Linked DNA regions of Lepisosteus oculatus. The protein of the gene in region 2 purifies or fractionates together with the protein of the main gene of each other region. This does not show direct contact. Links are inferred from orthologs where the notes say so. Each region holds a gene or a part of one and is shown on either strand. Other genes may lie near its edges. The genes, in order: ankyrin repeat domain-containing protein 46, probable E3 ubiquitin-protein ligase MGRN1 and mc1r.

Region 1 (7,218 bases), on a different chromosome or scaffold from region 2:
AATTCAGGGGTATGACGGGCAGTTAATTTTCTAATAAAACGATCTGCAGTAATCTGTATTCCAGAGGCCTCTCTCCTCCCGGTCTCTCATGTGACCCCTGACACAGAAGCACAAAGCATGATCCCACCAGGAGGGACAGGGAAAACCGAAATCAGGGTCCAGGACCCAAGGCTATCAGGCTACCCATGCAAGTAATAATAATAATAATAATAATAATAATAATAATAATAATAATAATAGCAGCTTACACTTATATAGTGCTTTTCTTGACACTCCACTCAAAGCGCTTTACAGGTAATGGGGACTCCCCTCCACCACCACCAATGTGCAGCCCCACCAGGATGATGCGACGGCAGCCATAGTGCACCAGAACACTCACCACACACCAGCTATCAGTGGGGAGGAGAACAGAGTAATGAAGCCAGGACCAGGCTCATCTGCTTAGCTTCAGTGGGTTGCTAGTTGTGAGTTGCAGCATTGAACCTCTGTAGACCAGGTTGAAAAAAAGGCACATTTTCCTGGGTAATCAATTTGCCTACATAAGTTATCAGCAGCCATATCACCCTGGAACTCACAAGTGGTAACCCACTGAAGCTAAGCAGGTGTGAGCCTGGTCAGTACCTGGATGGGAGACCTAAAACTAAGGTTGCTGCTGGAAGAGGTGTTAGTGGGGCCAGCAGGGGGTGCTCACCCTCTGGTCCATGTGGGTCCTAATGCCCCAGTATGGTAACGGGGACACTATACTGTAAACAGGCATAGTCCTTCGGATGAGATGTAAAACCGAGGTCCTGACTCTCTGTGGTCAATAAGAATCCCAGGGTGTTTCTCGAAAATAGTAGGGGTGTAACCCTGGCGCCCTGGCCAAATTTCCCATTGGCTCTTACCAATTAATAACCTCCTAATAATCCCCATCTATCAATTGACTTCATTACTCTGCTCTCCTCCCCACGGATAGCTGGTGAGTGTTCTGGTGCACTATGGCTGCTGTCACATTGGTGGTGGAGGGGAGTCCCCATTACCTTTAAAGCACTTTGAGTGGAGTGTCATATATATAAGTGTAAGGAATTCTTAATTATTATTATACAAGTAACCCTCTCTGCTGGTCAAATGAATCTCCCAACCAATTAACTGACTTTTTCAGTCAATAGGTTTAAAAGACAGCACGATCAGAAACAGCCGCATACTGTAGTTCAGAGCATCTCTGAACCTCTCCTGCACATCTGCGAGTTATTGAATACCCGTCAGAAGATCCTAGATCAGGAGAGGTGCTTAAACTGTGTATTTTAGACCGGGACTGTCCAATTCAGAACTGTTAATCCGGACACGCAAAACTGAAAGATCGTTGGGGTTTAAGTGGTCCGGTTAAGCCAGTAACCCAGACGGTTTTGGTTTTCACGAGCAGCACTTGAATGACAGCTCGCAGATACTCCGCCCCTCCAGAATCCGAGCTAGGACAGCCCTTTTATTAGACGGAACCTCAAACTCCGGTCGGCTACATTGAATCTGTCCTTTCCGCAAACACTGCGACTGTGCAGTTAACACGGAGAGACAATAAGAAAACTAGCCCCATGATGACGCCGCAGACATTATGCTGCGCCTGAAATCTCCGAGACTTTCTACATCTGGAAAAGCCAGATCTTCCGGGACTTCAGAGATTTGGAGTATCTGTATTACAGATTCAGGCGTGTTTTTGAAAACAGAAAAAAAAAAACACAGTCGATTTTGCGAGCTGTACCAATGGGACAGATTTTCTACTGATGTTGCTATTTATTATTAGCTATTAAATACTAAACGTATTCTGACCAATGCCAGAAATTATATCAAGGACCGAAAAAAATGAGAGGATACACCGAAACGAACATCGCTAAGCAAAAAAAAGGGGTTTTATTTATATACCGGCTCTATATCTTAATTGCCCAATCCCACCAAAAACCAATACAAACTCACATTAATTAAGTAATAAAAAAGATCGTTGCTTTAAGGAATTCAAACACAGAGAATCCAATCTGTAAAGTTTACACTTAACGAGGGCCAGATAGAAACAATACAGAAACTTCCAACTCAGATGTGTATCCAGAAACGCAGTGTTAAAGATGAACGGAATTCTTTCTGTACGGTTTTGCTGAAGAGCCTAATTAATCATGACAAAAAATCACTTTTATGTTTAATCTTTACGACGATTTTTAGCCTCGGAGAGTGATATTCTTACCTGCCTCCATCCTCCGGCTGTCAACTGGGTTTAAAGCGGTGAAATAAAAAAATAGTGCGCGCTGCACTGTGGGGAATGTAGTTCCTGGTGGTGGCATCTCTAGGCGACGATAGGGATCATAAACTACAACTACCGGTAGGCAATGTTATGGTACTAGGCGTTAATAGAAACTGAAAACACTGAGGTGCGTTGTGGGTATTGGTGTTTCACGGGTAGGTTTCATTTCCAGTGCCTAATTCCGTTATTTTTATTACTAGTACTACTACTACTACTACTCCTACTTCTTAAAATGCTTTAGAGATTTTGTTCTTCATCCAAAAGCAAAAACACTCCAGAAACTCTTGTCCAGAGATTTATGTCTTTCCACCACCATGCTTGATAAAAGAGCAAGTACAGTCCAGAACGGTTGCCCAAAAAAGAATGAACCCTAAAGTGTAAACAGATACTGTACTCGACAGTAATATAACTGCCCACCCTCTTCAAAACTGTTCCTACTCTACACTTTCATTGTATGATCCAGTATTACTGCAATTTCTGAGCTTTGTATTGTAATGCTTTTCTTTTAACAACAATAGTCTGTACTTTTAGATCTTGGAATTTGTAGCTGTTAGTGTTTTCGTGTGGTGGTTGTGCTACATAACATGCTACATGTTATTGCAGCGCACTGATTTTTTACATATCACATTTTCTTTTCTCCAGTATAAGAACTGCACAGGATGGGCCCATCTGCGATATATAAATAATTTCTTTGATACAACATAAAGGCAAAGTCCGACAAACATAATCAACTATGAACACATGGGTTTTTCTAAAGGTAATACGGTCATCTTCAGTATTTTCCCAGTGTCTTAAATACAGTACTTGTTTTTTCATTGTATAAAACAATCAATGATTGGTTGCATTTGATCCCAAAAGTGCTTTACAAATAGGAGGGGACCCACATCTCTCTCACTAAACTACACCATCCTGCACCAGCAATACCAACATACAGCAGACCAGGTGGTGAGGAGAGAAATTATTTCACCATTTAATTTAGGGAAGACTTTAAGAAGGCCTGCATTTCCACATTGAATTGAATGTATTCAGAAAACTGGGGTTAATATCCCTAAAATTTGGAAAAGTGCAATTTATTTTTACATTTAATAACCAAGAAGTCAGGAACTCAGTTTGAAAGTCTCAATGAAAGACGGCACCTATTTCAGCACACTGTCTCTGTCACCAGGCAGGGACATTGGATTGTGAATTATTATAATGAATGTACCCAGCATCTATATCATACTGTAACTCACAACTGGCAATCCACTGAAGTGCAGCAGGTTTGAGCCTGGCCTGCACCTGGATGGGAGACCTCCTGGGAAAAGCTATAGTTGCTAGTGGAAGAGGTGATAGTGGGGCCAGTAGGTCCTGACTCTCTGTTGTCATTAAAAATCCCAAGGCACTTCTTGAAAAGAGTAGGGGTGTAACCCTGGTATCCTGGCCTCCTAATAATCTATGACTTGGCTTCATTACTCTGTTCTTCAACCCACTGATAGCTGATGTGTGGAGAGCCTACTGTCCACAGTTTGGTTGTCATTTCATCGTTAAGGTGGATGCTGCACATTATGCAAGAAATTCTTTCTTCTTATTATTATTAAATTCTGTTATGGGTGAAGAGAACCACTTACTGGTCCACCAGTGCTACTTATAGCAGGTGCCCAGTTTTCATGGCGATCTACCATTCCAGTACTGACCAGGCCCAGTCTTCTCAGCTTTTCAGATCTGGCAACACCTTCCTAATTTGCCCTCTACTATTACTACATTGAGTCTTTATACCTTATATGATGTTAAATTCTATTTTGAAAGCTTGTAATGATACCTTTTTTATTTAAAACGGCGATTCTGACTCGTAGATTTAGATTGCTGTGTCTTATATAATGATGGGTCAATCTCCCTTACAAGTGAGTAGGCGGCTCCTGACTGGGGTAACCATGGAAACGAGACAGCTCCTACTGCCGTAAAGCACCCTGATGTAGACGTGAAATTGTCAGGTCCGTTTACGGGTGGTTTGTGTCGTCTTAGATCGGCAACAAAATAAAAAGGAAAAGAGGCATATTTTTTCGGTTCTTTTGCAAAACATAATCAGGTAATGGGTAATACTGCTGCTTTCGGGAAGTTTGCTTAAGACTGCTTATGTAAATACGATGCATGTAAGCGAGTCGTCTTGATGATGAAGGTTTTTTGAAAGGATGTTTTAAGCAGAATCCAATTTAGTGGATCTGTGACGGCTTAGGTGCATCCTAAATTATTTCTTTTCTTTGCTGGAATGTATTTATATTTTATACGATTCTTGGCGTGCATCTGTGCTTAAACATAGGCATCACCCGTTAAGGTACGCTTCGGTTTAGCTCGGGAGGTCCAGGCGATGTCGTGTGTTTATTAATTTGTGATGTAATGGTTTACTATCGGCTCTCCGTTGCGGTGCAGAGTTGGGGCGTACCTGTGGGATCGGTGTGTACCCAGATGAGCGCATCCGATCCGAAGGGGGCGGATGTGAACTCTCCTTTTCTGCGCTTGATGGAGATTTCGTTCTTTATGTTACGATGTTTATGGGACCGCACTCGTGACGCAGTAATTTTGTATTAAAAATAAAAGCAAATCTGGAAAAATGTATTAAATCTTTTCTCGCTTCGTTAACCGTACATGTTTTTTTTAGGGTTAATGTCCAAGTGATGACAGGCTTTCATAGCCCAGTGCGAGTTTGAGGGTGTGACAGACGCGCCGCCTATCTTACCCCAACACCACTTCACTAAAAGTTAACTTTCCAACACACCCTTCCCGGCGCTTGTTTTCTTGTCCCGCAGGTACCCTGGACTTTACCGACACCCACTCAGACATGTCGTATGTCTTCATCAATGACTCTTCCCAAACGAACGTGCCCCTGCTGCAGGCTTGCATCGACGGGGACCTGAACTACTCGAAGCGCCTCCTGGAAAGCGGCTTCGATCCCAATATCCGGGACAACCGCGGTCGTACGGGGCTGCACCTGGCGGCGGCCCGCGGCAACGTGGAGATCTGCCGGCTGCTGCACAAGTTCGGGGCCGACCTGCTGGCCACGGACTACCAGGGCAACACCGCGCTGCACCTCTGCGGCCACGTCGACACCATCCAGTTCCTGGTCTCGAACGGGCTCAAAATTGACATCTGGTAGGTGCAGACCCCCGTCTGTCCCATGTCAGAGTGCTGGGAACTCTTCCGCCCTTTGGGAGGCTGGGGCCTCAACCCGTCTCCTTGTGTTCCTGGCACAGCAATCACAACGGCGCCACTCCCCTGGTGCTGGCGAAGAGGAGAGGGGTCAACAAGGACGCCATCCGGCTGCTGGAGGGCCTGGAGGAGCAGGAGGTGAAGGGCTTCAACCGGGGGGCACACTCCAAGCTGGAGTCCATGCAGCTGGCCGAGAGCGAGAGGTGGGTGTGGGAGGAAGAGAGAGCCTTCTGGAGTACTGCTTGTGTACCGTTCTTTTGGGTCTGGCAGTCTGCCGAGACCCAGTTTCTAAAGTTCCGGCCAAAGCTGACACCAAAGCTGTAGTACTTTGTCTTGTTACTTGTGTGTGATTTTGGTAGTATGAAACAGAATGGTACACGAGGAGTGCACCTGTGATTTGTAGGCACATTTACTGAAGCAGAAAGGTTATGAGACTTGAGCTTTCTAAAGGCTATTCCATCAGTGCCCTCTGCAGTTTGAATGGAAACAGCCTCATAACTTTACTTCTTTACCATCCGGAGTGGTTGATGTTAATGTGTTTTGCTAGCTAATGATCAACTTGAAAAGACTTCTCCCTTCCTGTACCGGCAATACTGTTTAATGAGAAAAGAGCTTCCAAAAGTTTTACCTCAGATAACCTGAGAACACGTAAATGGCAAAACCTTTCAAAACTTGATTCCAGCATCACATCTGCGTCATCTGATACTGGTTCAGTTCAAAAACAGGGCATTGGCAGTAAATGTCAGCAGCCATATTACCCTGCAACTCACAACTGGCAACCCACTGAAGCTCAGCAGATGTGAGCCTGGTCAGTACCTGGATGGGAGACCTCCTGGGAAAAACTAAGGTTGATGCTGGAAGAGGTGTTAGTGGGGCCAGCAGGGAGTGCTCACCCTGCAGTCTATGTGGGTCCTATTGCCCCAGTATGGTGATGAGGACACTGTACTATAAAAAGGTGCCGTCCTTCTGATGAGATGCAAGAGAGAGGTCCTGACTCTCTGTGGTCATTAAAGTTCCCAGGGTGCTTCTCGAAAAGAGTAGGGGTGTAACCCCGGTGTCCTGGCCAAATTTCCAATTGGCCCTTACTAATCATGGCCTCCTAATAATCCCCCTCTATGAATTGGCTACATTACTCTGCTCTCCTCCCCACTGATAGCTGATGTGTGGTGAGCGTTCTGGCGCACTATGGCTGCCGTCGCATCATCCAGGTGGATGCTGCACATTGGTGGTGGTGGAGGGGAGTCCCCATTACCTGTAAAGCGCTTTGAGTGGAGTGTCCAGAAAAGCGCTATATAAGTGTAAGCAATTATTATTATTATAATTATTATTATTATTATTTCTCAAAATGAGAAGGGATGGAACCCCGGTGTCCTGTCCAAAGTTTGCATCTTGGCCTCCTAATAATCCCCATCTATGAATTGGTTTCATTACTCTGTTCTCCTCCCCACTATTGGCTAATGTGTGGTGAGTGTTCTGGTGCACTATGGCTGCAGGTACATTGGTGGTGGTGGAGGGGAGTTCCCATTACCTGGAAAGCGCTTTGAGTGGAGTGTCCAGAAAAGGGCTATATAAACTCAAGCAATTATTATTATAAATGCCTTACTTTCACCCCAAATTACAATAATCTGTGCTGTAAACGTTAAAGAAGCAGTTTTAGACACTGAGACAATAGAATGTAATGGTAGTGTAACTGTTAGTGTTGTTGCCTCACAATTCTTTGGTGAATTTTTAACCACCTTATGGAAGGAGTTTACATGTTCCCCACCAAC
Region 2 (7,226 bases):
CAGTAGCGAACTGTGGTTGCAGGCACTCGAAGGAGCGCGCATGGCTCTACAGCTACGCTTCTGTGGAAGTCGGGAGGTCGCACACGCCCCGTCAACAGGAAACTAAGAATCAAGACAACGATAGTCCTTTTCATCGTGCACTGTAGTTCTGCTATACTGCAGGATTTCCTGAAAACATATAGCCGTGTTCTCTTTTATTGTGTTCTGTCGAAACAATGCCCAAAACAAGCGTTAGAATTATCTGTAGCGGCAGCTTTTTCCAGCCTCCTGTGCGCCGATGACAATAATGATGATAATAATAAATGTAACATTATAAAGATGTCAGGACTGAACCCAGAAACCGTTCATGCCGGTAGAGAGCATGTTGCGCTTTCTTGGAAAGAAAGCTTTTGCGCTGACAATCACAGCCCGAGAGCTGCCGGCGATCAGGGCGCCCCGTAAAGAAACGATTCACAAATAAGCTCCGTTTTCACTATGTCCACATCGCTGGCGTGAAACTGCACTCCCACCGCAGGACGACACGTCACGTCCTACAGAAATAACCGGGACTTGCCGTGTATTTGAGCGAACTAAATCGCGGGGGGGTCGCAGATCCTGCTCCAGCCATTCATTTGCAGGTAAAAGCTGCAGCCAAACGCTGTACCAGTTGGGTGCTTTTTTTTTTACGTGTTGTCCTGATACGGGAAAACAGTTTACTACCCTGTTTCCAATATGCCACAGGACCCGCAGATTGTGATCCTGACCCAGCGCGGCGGTCAGTGACACAGGGGAAGAGAAGAGTCCGGAGCTGCTCTGGTGTGTAAGTAGAGGGGGGAGGGAGGGGAGAGACTCGTGTCGAAACTGCAGACCGACACCATGTTCACAGTTTTCCTGGAATCACCCCCCCACCCACCACCACAACCTCCTCTTCGGAGACACGTTTTCAAAACCGCAATTTTAAAAATAAATAAATAACCGGGCCGGAGAAGGAACCGGTCCTCTTGTAACCCGAGTTGAACGAACTCGACGGCTTCCTTGCGATAGCTCCGATCTATCATCTTTTTTTTTTTAAAAAAAAGCCTTTTTTTTCCCTCCCCTCCTCCAGACAGAAAACTAGAAAGCTAGGAGAGCGGAGTCGGAACCCAAGCGTGCGCCGTCTTGTTTATGTTTTTATCCAGCTTCTAGCCCCGGCAACATGGCGGACACATCATCATCATCATAATCATAATCATAATAATAAAAGTACTACTAATCCCGATAATAAAGCACGGACATGCATGCACTGAAAAAAAGTATATACTCACCATCTGGTGGTGGTGGCTGTACGGGATGTTGGCTTCTTGAAAAAAGGCACTGAGCGCAGTCTGCAAGGGGAGAAAGCGTGAATTTAAGAGAGGCTGGTCTCGCCGGGGCCGCTCGCCGCCTGACAGCCCGGCGTGTCGCTGCTCGGGGGGCCGGTGCCCACGGTCACCAGGTCAAGCGAGCAGGGGGGGTCTGGTGTGGTGAGGTGAGGTGAGGTGAGGGGGGGGTCTCTCGCAGTCACGGCACGGCGAAGGCAATACACGACGGCCATATATTGCACAACACCGTTCCTGCCCTGTGTGAGCCGCGCAAGGGGACTGTGGCACCCAGGGCACATTCTGATGGGGGGGATTTCGAGCTATATGGATGCACTCGTCCCCTCCTGAACACAATCATGCTCGCTACACGTAGCACCACATTTCTGCTAGACGACGCGGTGAATAAGAAAGGGAGCTCGGGTTGACGATCTCTTCAGTCCCGGCTTTCGACATCATTTGCAAATCAACCTTCTCGGGCAAGACACTAAACATGGCAATCCTACGCACAAAGCACCCGCTCTCTCCCGCGGATAGACTGTGTGTGTGTGTATATATATATAAACACCAGCTCCAGAGCCCATACCTCGAACTGCCAGTGTGCCGCTTGCAAGAGCTGCTTCGCCTGGTCCGCCGCGCACCCAGCCGTCAAAACAAACTGATTGATCATCACTTGGTGCTTTAGATCATCCATAGTCGCCGAAGCGGTAACCGTTTCAAGCGTGTCGTGTGATATTCTTTCTGCGTCTCGGTCCTTGCTTCTGTTTTTTTTCTCTCTCTCTCTCTTTCCCTTTCTGTCTCTTTCAGTGATCCACCATTACAGCCGGCTCAGCAAACACAAATATTTACTGTAGGATCGCCAGTCTAGAGGGCTCCTTCTGATTGACTGCTGACGGCAGCGAGGGGGTGGGACTGCCCGCTTGTGGGATTTGTAGTTTCTGAAACCCCCCGCTGCCCCCACACGTGTTTTCACGCAGTGTCAGAGAGCTCGTTTTGCACGACAGCCTAAGAACAGAAACTCCGGCGATTTCTCTGTTTTCGCGCGGGTCTGAGTGAGGAGTTTAAAAACTAAGCCCAAATACATACTATCCAAGTTCAATACAGTCTTAAATTCGGTTTATATCCAGAATGGTGACACATTAAGACGGCGTTTTTTTTCCCCCCGATAACATTGAATTGGCCATATATTTACTGTATGACATTTAAATGGTATTTAGAAATACGTTTCACCTTTGGGCTCGACACGGTTTCTAAACTGTATATCTGAGTGTAGAAACGAATCCTGATTAGCTGTAAGTGCAGATCTCCGTGCCCCCCTTGTGTTATTGTTTGCATTTTGGACTACAAATCCCGGCACCACACGCTTTGTTTGTAAAATTCTAGAAAGCAAAACATTTTTTTTTTGTGAATGACGGCCGCTCCCGTCCAATTCCTGGGCGCTTTGTGTCACTATCTTACCATATTAGGCCAACAAACCTCTGAGCGCCAATGAAAAGCGAGCAGGGGCGGGGCCAGGAGCTGTCAGCTGAGGGGCGCTGTGTGTAAGGCCGGTGTTGTGGTCCGGGAGTAGGGGATCTGCGCCAGTTTTGTTAGGACACGCTTGACCTCTGTGCCAATCGGCCGGACGGGCGTCCTCCTATGGCCGAATGTCAGATGAAAGACTGTTTTTTTAAATGAGTAAATTCTCGGAGTTTGCCGATGAAAATATGTCGGTTCCTTCTCGCATGTACGCTATCCCGTGTGGTTAGTTTTATTCCTCGATTCCGTTTTGACGCCTGAAAGACAACACTGTTTTGTTCCTGGGACTACAAGCCTAACAGTCTTTTTCAGAGCACTAGCAGCATTATTTCTGAAGAGCTGGTTGCTGTTTTTATTCAACAGTACGGCCGAGCAGAGCCCATTGTGTCTGGTGTTTGTGATCCTATCTGTTCTAGAATGAATGTCTGAGTGTGGCCCAGGTGAATAGAGCTATCGTTTGTATATCATTCTGCATGTCTGTTTTATTGGTGTGTGTTGCCTCTGATTAATATTCCTGGAAGGGAAGTGAGGGAGAGAGAGTCACGCATTAAACAAACCCCATGTCAGCCTGTACAATCTGGACAGAAAGACGCTGGTATTTTGCAAAGAGAACAATACACTCCTCACTATCAGCATATCCATAGCCACGTCACAAAACATCGCAATCAGTTTTTTGTATATGTCAACAAATACACGGTTGTAACTTCACATATTGTACAATTCTGTCCACCCATCAGTCTGCTAACCTTTTCGATCCAGTTCGGTTCAGAGGGAACCGGAGTCCGTCCCAGTAAGGTGGGATACATCCCGGGCAGGACACCAGTCCATTGCAGGACAGACAGGCACAGGCGTACACACCAGGGCCAGCTGTTTTTTTTTAACAGTGCAAGTTAACCTACCAGTGTGTCTGTGGACTGTGGGAGGAAAACCCACGCGGACACAGGGAGAACATACAAACTCCACACGGATAGGAATCGAATCCAGGGCCACAACACTGCACAGGGATGCCTAACCCCTGCGCCCCCTCGGGCCACGATTAAGCAGTATTTCCCATGAGTATACTTTTCTCTAAACTCGTATTAATCGTTTTCCATCTGACGACTTATTTCTTTACAAGTCATGAGCTGCGTCAGCATGCGCAGGCTGCAAAGGGACAGGTACACGTTTATTCCCCGCTGGAAAGAGAAGAGACACAACGTTTCGGCTGCGCAACCTTCTTCAGAACACCCAAAGAAGCATGGAATAAACTTTTCGTTGTTCCTTATTTATTTGCAACCCCTTTGTGAAGATATGTAGTCACAGAACAGTGTTTTTTTCATACCTATTTACACAGCTAGCTAAGTTAAGAAGGGGTCACAGCGGCTAAGCGCGAATATGATCGTGTTAATTCGGTCATAGAGGCAGCGAGTGAATCTCGACGACACTACACCCAGTCCTTTCCTTCTCCTCGCTCGTAGTTAAGTAGTGTTGTAGTTTCCATGGCATGTTAAAGGTATCGAAGAGAGCATGGCAGCCTCCTTCTGAAAACTACAAGACCCACAAGCCCCTGCCCGTTCCGCGCGATGCTGGGAGAGTTCACGTATGTCGCGCGACACCCTGTTGCTGGGACGGAAAAAAAAAAAAACAACAACCCCGTTTCTCTCCCGTCTCCGTTTGTGTCTTCGAGGCTTCGGACTTCTGTGTTTTTCCGGATGAACCTCTGACGTCGTGGGACTATAAATGTAACTGAGGAAATATCGCTGTGCCTCATGAGAGAATTGGTAAAAAAAAAAAAGGATTAATCGCCGATCCCCGAGAAATCTTGGAATTCTCCATCATGTCCGACGGATTTCTCTCCGTCTGAAATCGTTGTCGTAGTCGCCGCCGTTTTCCTTAAATCGCAGAACAGCGTTCAGTCCTGAAGCGACCGGCGTCTCGTCGTCTTTTATACCGCTGCTGCCTGTGTTTTTACCGTTTGTAAGGTCGTGCGAGAAGCATGGGGTCGATACTTAGCCGGAGAATCGCGGGAGTTGAAGACATTGACATCCAAGCAAATTCCGCCTACAGATACCCTCCCAAGACCGGTAAGGACCCTGTTTCAGTCATGCCAACCCCTGGCTACTGAGTGTGTTGTCAGAGGTGCCTTTGCGTACCGCCCCAGGAGTCTAAGACTTTGTGTACAAACAGGAAGGCGGCCCCGGGGGGATCGGGTCAAAGTTCTCGTCTGATAGTATTTATGGGACACCTGCGCGTTATTGATGACCTGCCTCGCCTGTGAACTTACCGAGCAGTGCCATTCGAGTAGAAAAGAAAATCACGTATTTGTATCGGCGCAAAATGAAAATCACACCAGCACACTGGGTTTCTGTGTGTTGCCTTAACGGGCGTTTAAAAATGGTTTGTGAAGTGCTTGTGAGAATGGTTGGGTGATGTATTGGAAAGACAGCGTGGATGCAAGGTGGTCTTTTACTTTAAATGGAATATTGCACGGTATAAAGTTTTGTTGTAAAGAGTTTTTGATATTTCATCACTAATTTCATGTTGCGTATAACCGAAGTGTTGCATGTACGCCGGTGATGCAATCAGTTTGGGCGAAAAACACCTGCTTTCCCAGCGAGGATTGCTGGTGCCATCCGCTGCTGTCATGACGACGGGAGTCGCCTGCAAGCGGGAGCTGAGGGCATCTTGGGCTTGTGAAGGTGCTGCCCTTGCTTGTCCCGCAGCGTGAGGGAGTGACAGCGGTCGATCACGACGTGACCCGGGTCGGCTGCCAGGCCATGAGGCACACATAGCAGGACAGTAATAAAACCGATGTCCCGAATCCCCACCGCGTACCGTGCAGTAGCAGGGATGTGGCAGTTTTTTTTTCCTGTCGCACAGGAGACTGTATCAAAAGGGAGAACGAGACGGGGTAAATCTGGTTTGTAAAAAAAAAAACAAGGGGTTTTTGGAAACGGCTGCCACGCTTGCTTTCCATAGAATAGGGCTGCTGGTGCTATTCCATAGAATAGCACCAGCAGGCAAAGCGAAGTGGAGTGATGGAGCTTGACGCCCCCATGCTGGACTGATCTTAGCTGCACGCTGACGGCCTGGGGTTGTGTCCCACCTGCGCAGGGGACGTGACCTTGGGCCCGGCGGAGCTCTTTCAGTTCCCCTCAGCCGGCGGGTGATGGCTGGGGCACCTCCGGCGCGTTCCTGTTTGGTGTCGGAGCTGGGCGGGAAAAGGAAAGTCGTTCCGCGCCCGTCCGAGCCAGGCAGGGAGGCCGGGCAGAGCCGCCAGAGAGTCGCAGGTTTTAAAACTACAGGCGCCACCGTCGTGGCGAAACGGGGACGATTGTTAGGAGATCGAGGATGCTGAAATTTCTCCGCTGGCCCTGAGTGCTGCTGTTGTCGTTGTTGTGAAAAGTTAGGGTGTGGTTGTGTGTCAGGGCCTGTGGGTGGGATGAGGGGAGAAAAGGTGGCAGCAGTTTCACCCCTTGGGCTTGGCAGGCTGGGCTGATGTGAGTGACTTTAAGATACAGTTCTGGACTTGGCGTTTTCCTGGGAAAACCCTTGTCTGTAGATTTGGGTTTAAATTCTGATCTGAGCAGATTGGGTAAGCTCTTTTTGTTGTTTTGGGCCCTGGGGCTGTTCTGGAGGCAGAGGAGACAATCTAGGTGCAGTTGTAAAGCAATCCCCTTATATTTCCGTGGTCTCTATGCCATTTACTCCACGATGTTGTCCATACAGTATACTGTAATGGAAATTTTGAAAGATCCCCCATGACTTTTCTGTCTGGCATTTCCTAGCGTGTTTCTCCAACACAGGGGATGTTGTTAAATCGTGAAAGAAATTACCCTGAAATGTGTCATCAAATTAGACGCTGTCAGGGATGAGCCCAGTTTATCAACAGTATTTCCCTGCATTTATACATTACTTTTCATCCTGGTGGGCATCAATGTACTTGACATGTCAGCAGCACCCATCTGGGGTGCTGAGTGGAGTTTAGCTGGAACAGGCTTAACATGCTCACTGTTACGAGCACTGCTGCAGCATCTTCAATGACCATGCTGTGGGGCCCTCGGTTCAGCCTCTCAGTCCAAAGGAGAGCACCTCCTGCAGTAGCGTCCCCCATACGTGGGCATTAGTTTGGCAATTCAGGACCAGAGGGAGGCACGCCACCTACTGGTCCACCAGTACCGACACAGCCTAACAGCTGTAACATGGTTTTCCTTGGATGTCTTCCATCTCAGTATTAGCATCTGAGATCTGGCGAGAACACGCTACAGGGTGGTAACACTGCTGCTTCATGAGCGATGAAGTACATTTGCTGGCTTCCATGTTTCAGAAGAACTGCTCGGGTCTCGGCCGCTGGGCTGGCATCTTCCTTTCTTTCAGAGATGCCTGACTGTAAAATTGCACCATCTTTGATTG
Region 3 (7,811 bases), on a different chromosome or scaffold from region 2:
GCATTATAAATTTTAGCCAAACTGTAAAGAGAAGGCTAACTGTTGCTTTATTGATATCCCTTATTTTAGAGAATTGTATTCCAATTCACGTGGTAGAATGGTTTGCTTTTAGAAGAGTAGATCAGTTTTTCATTTTTATTTTTCAGACTTACAATTTTAAAGACGTGCATGATTGTTTTAGAAATATCAGCTCCTTAGCCTTCCCCTTCAGTCTGAAAAAATAACATTTCAGTACATTCAGCCAGTAAGAAGTCACCAGTTACAGTATGTAAAAAAAAAGTTTCAAAGGCGCCAAAATATAGTTATTTGATTGTTTGATTTTACTTTACTTTATAACAAAACTTTACAAACCTTAGACGCAATTTATGTTGTTTTTTCTATTCAACATTAAAAGGGCTGGATATTTTGACTTCTGGTGCTCTTAAGAACCCACTTCTTCACCGTTACATCATGACTTTTACTGATGCTTCAGCAGACTGCAATGAAGGAAAGGGGAAAAGAGCTACCACGCAAAATCCAAACAGAGCAAACAGAGTCACACTGTAGCCCTTCCTCATGCCAGCTGCTCCAAAAAGAGTTCATTTTGTTTGCTTTTTTCCTTCTTCCTTCCCCCTGTCTCTGTGGAGGACCACCTACATGGTGAACCACCAGGAGCAGAACACGAGCTCCTTCAGAGTCCTGCGCAGCTCCTGGCTCCTGTAGGCGTAGATGATGGGGTCGATGAGGGAGTTGCAGATGATGAGGATGAGGAAGAGGTTGAAGTGACTGAAGAAACAGGCGCAGTAGGGGCTCTTGGGGCAGGTGAGGATGAGAATGAGATGGAGGAAGAACGGGCTCCAGCAGATGACGAAGACCCCCAGCAGGATGGTCAGAGTGATGGCCCCCTTCATGCTGGTGGCCTGGTGCTGGCGGCGGTTCTTGTAGTAGGTGGTGATGCGCTTGGAGTGGATGTGAGCCAGGATGAACATGTGGAGGTACAGCACCGCGGTGAACACCAGCATGGTGCAGAAGATGGTGATGAGGCAGATGATGACGGCTGTGTAGTTGTAGTAGACGATGAAGAGCGTGCTGGAGATGGTGCTGGCCACCCAGATGACCACAATGATGGCCACTGCGCGCTGGGTGGTCATGATATTGTGGTAGCGGAGAGCGTAGAAGATGGTGATGTAGCGGTCCGCCGCAATGGCGCTGAGGAAGGAGAGAGAGGACACCACCGAGCTGCAGATCATGATGTCGATCACGTTGTCCAGCTGCTTCATCATGTCCGGGGTCACCACCAGCACCCCCTGCTCGATCAGCAGCATGAACATGGTTTCCACCACATTGCTGACGCTCACCAGCATGTCGGAGACGGCCAGGCAGCAGATGAAATAGTACATGGGCGAGTGCAGGTTCCTGTTCTTGATTATGGCCAGCACCACCAAAATGTTCTCCACCAGGCTAATTAAGCCCAGAGTCAGAAAGATCTCGTGGGGGATTGTGATCTGCTCGCAGCCGGTGGAGTTGGGGCTGCCCAGGGAGACGTTAGAGGTGTTCTCCCAGTGCGTGGAATCCAGGGGGCTGACCTCAAGGTGTTTCATGATGAGAGGATTGAAGGCTGTAACGTTCATGTCCTTTGGCTCAGCCGCAAGAAACAGTGTGGACGTGCTCGATGGAAGCAGGGCTGTCAGTCTGAGTTGCTCTCTATGGCCTTGCACTAAAAACAAATATACATGAATGAAAGCCTCCATTTAAAGGGCGTGTCATTTCATCTCAAACCCTCATCGTCTTTAGTATTTGATATTGATATCGGTGCGAAGTTTTGCTAATACTGGTCTGTGTGCATTACAAGTATCCAATCCGTCACTTTATTTTAAATGTATTTTAAATCTTTACTTTCAGAAAAAAAAGTGCACCTTACAGAACAAGATATAACAACACCTAACGCACATAAAGCACTACAAAACCGCAAGAAGTACAATAAAAGGAAGGTTATACAAATTTAATATACATTCGTTTTTACCTCTTAGCTCTCGTGTTGCTGTTTCGGTAGCTCTGGGTGGCTTGCAGGCAATTCGCTGCTCGGGAGCAGAAACAGGAATCCGGGCGAACTCACCTCAGCTGGGTCTCGTCGCTCAGGTGCTTGAGTGCACATCAGAGATGCGTTCCTCCAGTCCCAGGAAATAGGAACAGCAGATATCCCGCAGGTCAAAAACGTTGCCTTTTCTTTTAGACTTTTGAGGTAATTAATGAGATCCCGGATTTTATTTGCACGTGTAGATTGAAAAAATATATTTAATTTCCCTTTAAACTCAGGAGTGAATATATACCGTTCCCGAAGTCCCGGGTGCCTGTCAGCATCTCATCCCTTGGTATTAATCTAAATATTAAAAAATGAAGAATGTTGTGTCTGCTAGGAATTCCCTTCTTAAGGCTGCCGCTTTCTTGTCAGAGCCGATACAGGCGGATTGACTCGCGAACTGTCGTCCCAGCTCGCACGAGATCTTTAACTGGTGAAGATCGTTACAAAAAGGACAATCGAAGCATCTTTAAATATAATATATCTGAAAAAAAAGAGACAATTCGCTCTTCTTTAAAGGTCGGGGTCTTGCTCAGGCTCCACCTATCCCAGTGATGAGCAAGCACATGACAAACCCTCCAAAAAATGTCATTTTCATGAAGCCAAGTCAGCTCAGTTCAATGCTGAGGTCCCGTATGGCAATAAACTCGTATGGCTAACATCTGCGTCGTCGTTTGCGAAAATAAATGTCACACTAAGACTCGGCGCTTTGTGGCGCTCTGGGCAAGGATCATTAAAAGATTAAAAACCGTTTCAGTCTTGATGGCAGCGAACATCATTACTTATTACAGGAATTACTGATTTCATTGCGCAATTGACTGATAAGTCTCGCTGTTTGAGACACAAAATCGCACTGAAATATGAACATAGCGGAGTTAATATTTTTCTTAATTCCGAAAATTGTTAAAGTTATTTTTTATTAATACAAACACTGAATGAGCCACTCGGACTCGTGTCGCGGTCGCAATATTGGAGCTACTAGGCATGTGTTGACAGTTACCTTTTTGTGTAAACTAATTATTTTGGTTTTAACTGGTTTAAAACTGGTTGGTTTTAAAGCTACTTAACCCGCCTAAAAATAAAGTCAGACAGACGCGTAACAACAGGTGAACACGCCGTGTGTCGTGTCGTGCGCTTTGACCTGCGAGAGCTACAGCAGTGAGAAACACATCTGATCGTTCACAGCCAAATTAGCCAAATTAAACAGCCAAATGAGCGCAGAACCAGAACTTAAAACATTAAAACATTTTCACAACCTTTAATTGTAAAGATTGCGGTAGCAAATTTTGAATAAATGTTCTTACAATGTAATGATTGATACTTTGTTAAACATGACGCGTTCAGTGTTCAGCCCTGATACTAAAATAAATGTGTAAATTGAACATTTACTAAATAGATATTACTGTTTCATTTCCACGTTGAGTCTGATAATACATTAGTCCTCTATGAATTTAATTAAGAAAAAAATATGGAGTAATCTTTAGTATGTATTATATTTGAACATTTGCAGTTAACAAATTGTAAAATACGGGCTTGTCTTGACTAAAGTATAAAACTAAACTGTACTGACTACCAATCTAACGTGTTAACGATCTGTAACAAACTGCTCAAAGCTGGTTACTGATTTAATCAGCAGCCTGTGCAAATTAGTAGTTTAAAGACTATGGAAGTTAAGAAAGGATGCCTTCAAATGAAGAAATTGAAAAACAATCAAGAACATATTCCTTTATATTTAAAAAAACAGTGCTATTGTATTGGTATCGCAATTACACAAACCGAACCGAACCGAACCGAACGTTCTTTGAAATCGAGAAGTGAGACACTAACATTATTTTGTGGTCGACCTTCACGTGTCGTGCCATCAAAAAAACAGAAGGGGTTTTCGGTGTTGGGTGAAAGGGCGGGTCACTAATCGAACCGCATTTCGAAATGCTCAAAAGAGCACGATGTCTGAGATGTCTAGGAACACTTCTAGGATAATACTGTACATTCTTTCTAGAGCAGCACGATGGCAATACTTTGAAAATTAGCTACCGTCTGTCTTAATCGTTAGAATTTAAATTACAGTTCCAACTTGAGCAGAACAATGTTTTTAAGTACTGCGGGCTCGTTGCTTACACCACTTTCCCTGCACAAACTAAACAGACTCGATTTTTAAAGGACTTGGATAAATTATATCTCCGGTCACATTACTACTGTTATCCTGGGGCTCATTTCTTATGAAAGAGCGCATTCAAAACCGGAAAGAATTTCAAGATTTAAAAAAGATACATGCCTTTAATGGAGAAAAGTAATTAGATTTAACATTCTAATTTGAGTTATTTTTAGCAAACGCATAGCTCGGAATTATTTATAATTTCATAACATTTTCCTAATTTCTTAACAGTGGTCTGCTAAACAACGTGATTACACGTTGCTGATATTTAAATAAGAATTATGTTTGAGACACATCTAAGCCTCCAAAAACACGGAATAAACCTTTACTTGCTTCTTTAAGTAACTACCTACTACTATCAAACAGGCTAGGTGGTGTGTCTGTCTCCCCTCCCTTGTGAAACTCTTCTGAAAGATGTAGCTATAGACTGTGTTAATCTTTCTCTTGCAGTTTACCATATTAACAGAAGAGCTTGCAGTGATGGGCAAAATACATTGGTCAGATGAAAGCAAGTATAACTAGAACAACAATAATAAAAGATGGTAGTGTTTGGCACAGAGGCACAGTGCCCAGCATTGCTGCCTTGCAGCACTGGAGCCCTGAGCTGAATACCGGACCTGGGGTCCTGTCTGTTATAGATTCAGTATGTTTTCCCTGTGTTTGAGTGGGTTTCTTCCCACAGTCCAAAGACATGCTGGTAGGTTAACTGTCATCTGGGAAACTGGTCCTGGTGTAAGTGTGTGTGTCTGTGTCTGTATGGACCCTGCCTTGCGCCCACTGCTTGCTGGGATAGACACCAGCTCCCTGGCGACCCTGAATGGGATGGAGCAGTTGGAAAATGGCTGGATGGATGTGGTCTATAGAATACACTGCAGTTAGTCTGCAGTTAAACGAGAGATGCATAAGAATGAAATCATTTAATTCTGGTTACGTAAGAGCTCCTGCACACCATAAAACAGTCATCGGCCTCTTAAAATAGCTGTTGCCTTTGATGTATTATCCAAATTTGTTCCATTTGCTACATGGCTTATGTCAATGAGAAGAATTACCATCATTGAAAAAACATTTCTGGCTATCACATTGTACAAACAGAAAATTCACTGAAGCAGGTTCCTGGGAGAAGGGCAGTTCCCTCACTCAGAACATTTCTGTGATTGATTCCCAATTCTAATCCGATAAACCATAAATTCCCTTTCTCTAAAAAGAGCGCAGAAAGAGCAATTATGCTTCCATCCTGCAGTGAAGTAATGAGTTTTTAAAAGGCTGCTGGAGTGAATGTTCACATTTCAGAACGCACATAAAACCTTTCTCTGAAAAGCCCAAACTGGAACAAAAAATACACAACAACAAAAACATTCCTGTACAGTTCTGTCTATCACCTATCATAAAGATTCTACTTTTCTGGATGAAGCATTTATTGAGTTAAACAATAGTAACTGTTTGTCTGAAGTGCAGTCCGTGAACAATCAGATCATATGCACACAGTAGTACTTGTCAGCTCCAAGTTAATTCTGGCCTTGCTGACCTGTGAAGTGTGAACCCCCCAGCCTAATAGCAGCACTAACGATGAAACCCACCACATCCGTTTGTGCTGGTTTGTGTCTTTGAAAAACAAACCTTTTCCACTTACAGAGCTGCCATGCAGCATATTTCACACTGGGTGAACCACATGGACCTGGGCTGAATGAACAATCAGAAAAAGGAACACTTATTTTTCTGGCTTTTAATGTACAAACCGCAAGCAAAAGGCTCTGTATGTGCTAAGTTAGTTAAACTAACTGATACACATTTCAAACCAGATCCTTGTCTTTGCTTGTTAAATGACCATTATTTGGTTAATTTGTGTTTTAATTCATAAAGGACTGCTTTTTGTTGGCTTCACAGCAGTTAACAAAATTCTACAACTATGGTTATGCCCAGACAATGTGCCAGATAAACACTGAATACTCACATATCAGTATATTGTGAACTTAAGTTGTACAACAGCTAGGAAATTCTTAAAATGACCCAATCTGGAGAAGGGATTTCCATAACTGTTAGAAATAAGCTTATTTCTTAAAACAGTAAATACACATACAGTGTAATCTATATTAACGTGTATTAAACTTGTATTACATTAGGTTGAGATAAAAATGTATAGCTGTATTGGTACTGTAATGTTGATTGTAGTGTTGATGTTTGTTTTTATTTGTTTTTTAATCTGTTTGAAAATCCAATAAAAATGTTGATTACAAAAAAAAGAAAGGGCACTGCTGTTCTTCAGCTGCATCTTCAAGAGAGTATTGAGGTCAGGAGGAAATACAAAGAACTGATCAAGACAACACAGGGTGAAATAAAAAACAAACACTGTACCTCAACAGCAGCAGCATGTCCATGTCTTCCCAAATGAACAGTGACAAAGAGCTGGGGAGAGGAGGACAAGGAGGGGATAACTAAACTCAAGCCAAACAATCAAGCCTTTTGACGGATTCAGTTTTGACTTTTGTAGATCAAAAGCAAGGAGATTATAATCATTATCCAACTTAGCAGGGTAAGACTGCATGAGTCATCACTTCTCTGTTTCCCTCACAAGTGTCTGGCAGCCTGATCTTCATTCTGCCTTAAACCTCATCTGATCACTGGATCAACATCCATCAATCCATTTCCTAATCCGCTTATCCAGTACAGGGCTGTGAGGGGAGCTGCAGCCGGAGCCTGTCCTGGGAAGGCATGGGCGCAAGACAGGGTCCAGGATGCACCCTGGACAGGACACCAGGACACTGAGGAGGCTGGAGAACCTGCAGGCATGGACCTCACCATGGAGGGAATCCAAGATTGCAGGTTCTTCTCTGTGTGTTTCTGTTGGGGGCAATAGTGGGCAGTGATAATACCCACCAAACTCACCAGTCCCTGATGTTGAAATACAAAAAAACAACAGCGCCCCCTGCAGAAAGCACAGAACTGTGGCTCAGTGGTTCTGGCGTGTTTCCCAGACAGCTGCTGGCTCAGATCCCCGGGCCAATGTTGCTGTGCTGCTTGAGTAAAGTCCTTCGCTCCGATTACTCCAGTTCATATCCTGATATATAAAAGGGCCCCTCTCAGGTCTTCGCTGGAAATAATCGTTTGTTTGCAATTGACATATCTGGTTAAACAACAGATTCAAAATCTTTGCATAATTTGCAGTTAATGCCTCCCCACTGAAACATTTTTTGCCCTGAGCAGTGCACACTTAAACAAGGAAAACCATTTCAAATACAGTATATCACTGGCTCAGTTTGTCTCAATGGGACCAACACAGAGAACTGAGTCACTTTCTGGTCTCATTAACTATGGGTTAATGCTATGCACCACCATGGACCCTGCTGTACTGCAAGTGAGGTATTGTACCCCAGTGCCTCCAGTCCACCCAGCTGTAGAAACTGGGACCAGCATTGCTCGGTCTGATTGCTATGATAGACCAGCATCTCACTCAGGGGCCAGAGAGACTAACGTGCTCTGTCTGCTTAACACTGTGGAACTCGGCACAGGATTTGGCTTGATGAGCTGTCAAGATAATGTTGAGATGCAGCAAAGCGTCAGGAATCAGGAGTCAGTCTCCTTGGCAGGGCTTGGGGACTG

Evidence for each region.
Region 1: the proteins of probable E3 ubiquitin-protein ligase MGRN1 (region 2) and ankyrin repeat domain-containing protein 46 purify together in Homo sapiens (co-immunoprecipitation; 3 studies listed by BioGRID and IntAct, counting the BioPlex papers as one, with this or other methods). This does not show direct contact. The link is inferred for Lepisosteus oculatus from reciprocal best matches to the Homo sapiens genes MGRN1 and ANKRD46.
Region 3: the proteins of probable E3 ubiquitin-protein ligase MGRN1 (region 2) and mc1r purify together in Homo sapiens (affinity purification with western blotting; 3 studies listed by BioGRID). This does not show direct contact. The link is inferred for Lepisosteus oculatus from reciprocal best matches to the Homo sapiens genes MGRN1 and MC1R.

Annotation. Positions count from the first base shown.
Region 1 is NC_090703.1:40,735,155-40,742,372, forward strand, and holds the start of ankyrin repeat domain-containing protein 46, read left to right. Parts: upstream 1-4,212; 5' UTR 4,213-4,331; intron 4,332-5,049; 5' UTR 5,050-5,081; coding exon 5,082-5,392; intron 5,393-5,493; coding exon 5,494-5,652; intron 5,653-7,218. Other genes in the region: cysteine protease ATG4A, read right to left, coding at 2,210-2,219.
Region 2 is NC_090714.1:16,015,460-16,022,685, forward strand, and holds the start of probable E3 ubiquitin-protein ligase MGRN1, read left to right. Parts: upstream 1-4,135; 5' UTR 4,136-4,594; exon of another isoform or gene 4,595-4,795; 5' UTR 4,796-4,809; coding exon 4,810-4,897; intron 4,898-7,226. Other genes in the region: ubald1a (UBA-like domain-containing protein 1), read right to left, coding at 1,284-1,343, 1,903-2,010. UniProt on the Homo sapiens protein: E3 ubiquitin-protein ligase. Mediates monoubiquitination at multiple sites of TSG101 in the presence of UBE2D1, but not of UBE2G1, nor UBE2H. Plays a role in the regulation of endosome-to-lysosome trafficking.
Region 3 is NC_090715.1:16,475,725-16,483,535, reverse strand, and holds mc1r (melanocyte-stimulating hormone receptor), read right to left. Parts: upstream 2,771-7,811; 5' UTR 2,003-2,770; intron 1,697-2,002; 5' UTR 1,611-1,696; coding exon 633-1,610; 3' UTR 539-632; downstream 1-538. UniProt on the Homo sapiens protein: Receptor for MSH (alpha, beta and gamma) and ACTH. The activity of this receptor is mediated by G proteins which activate adenylate cyclase.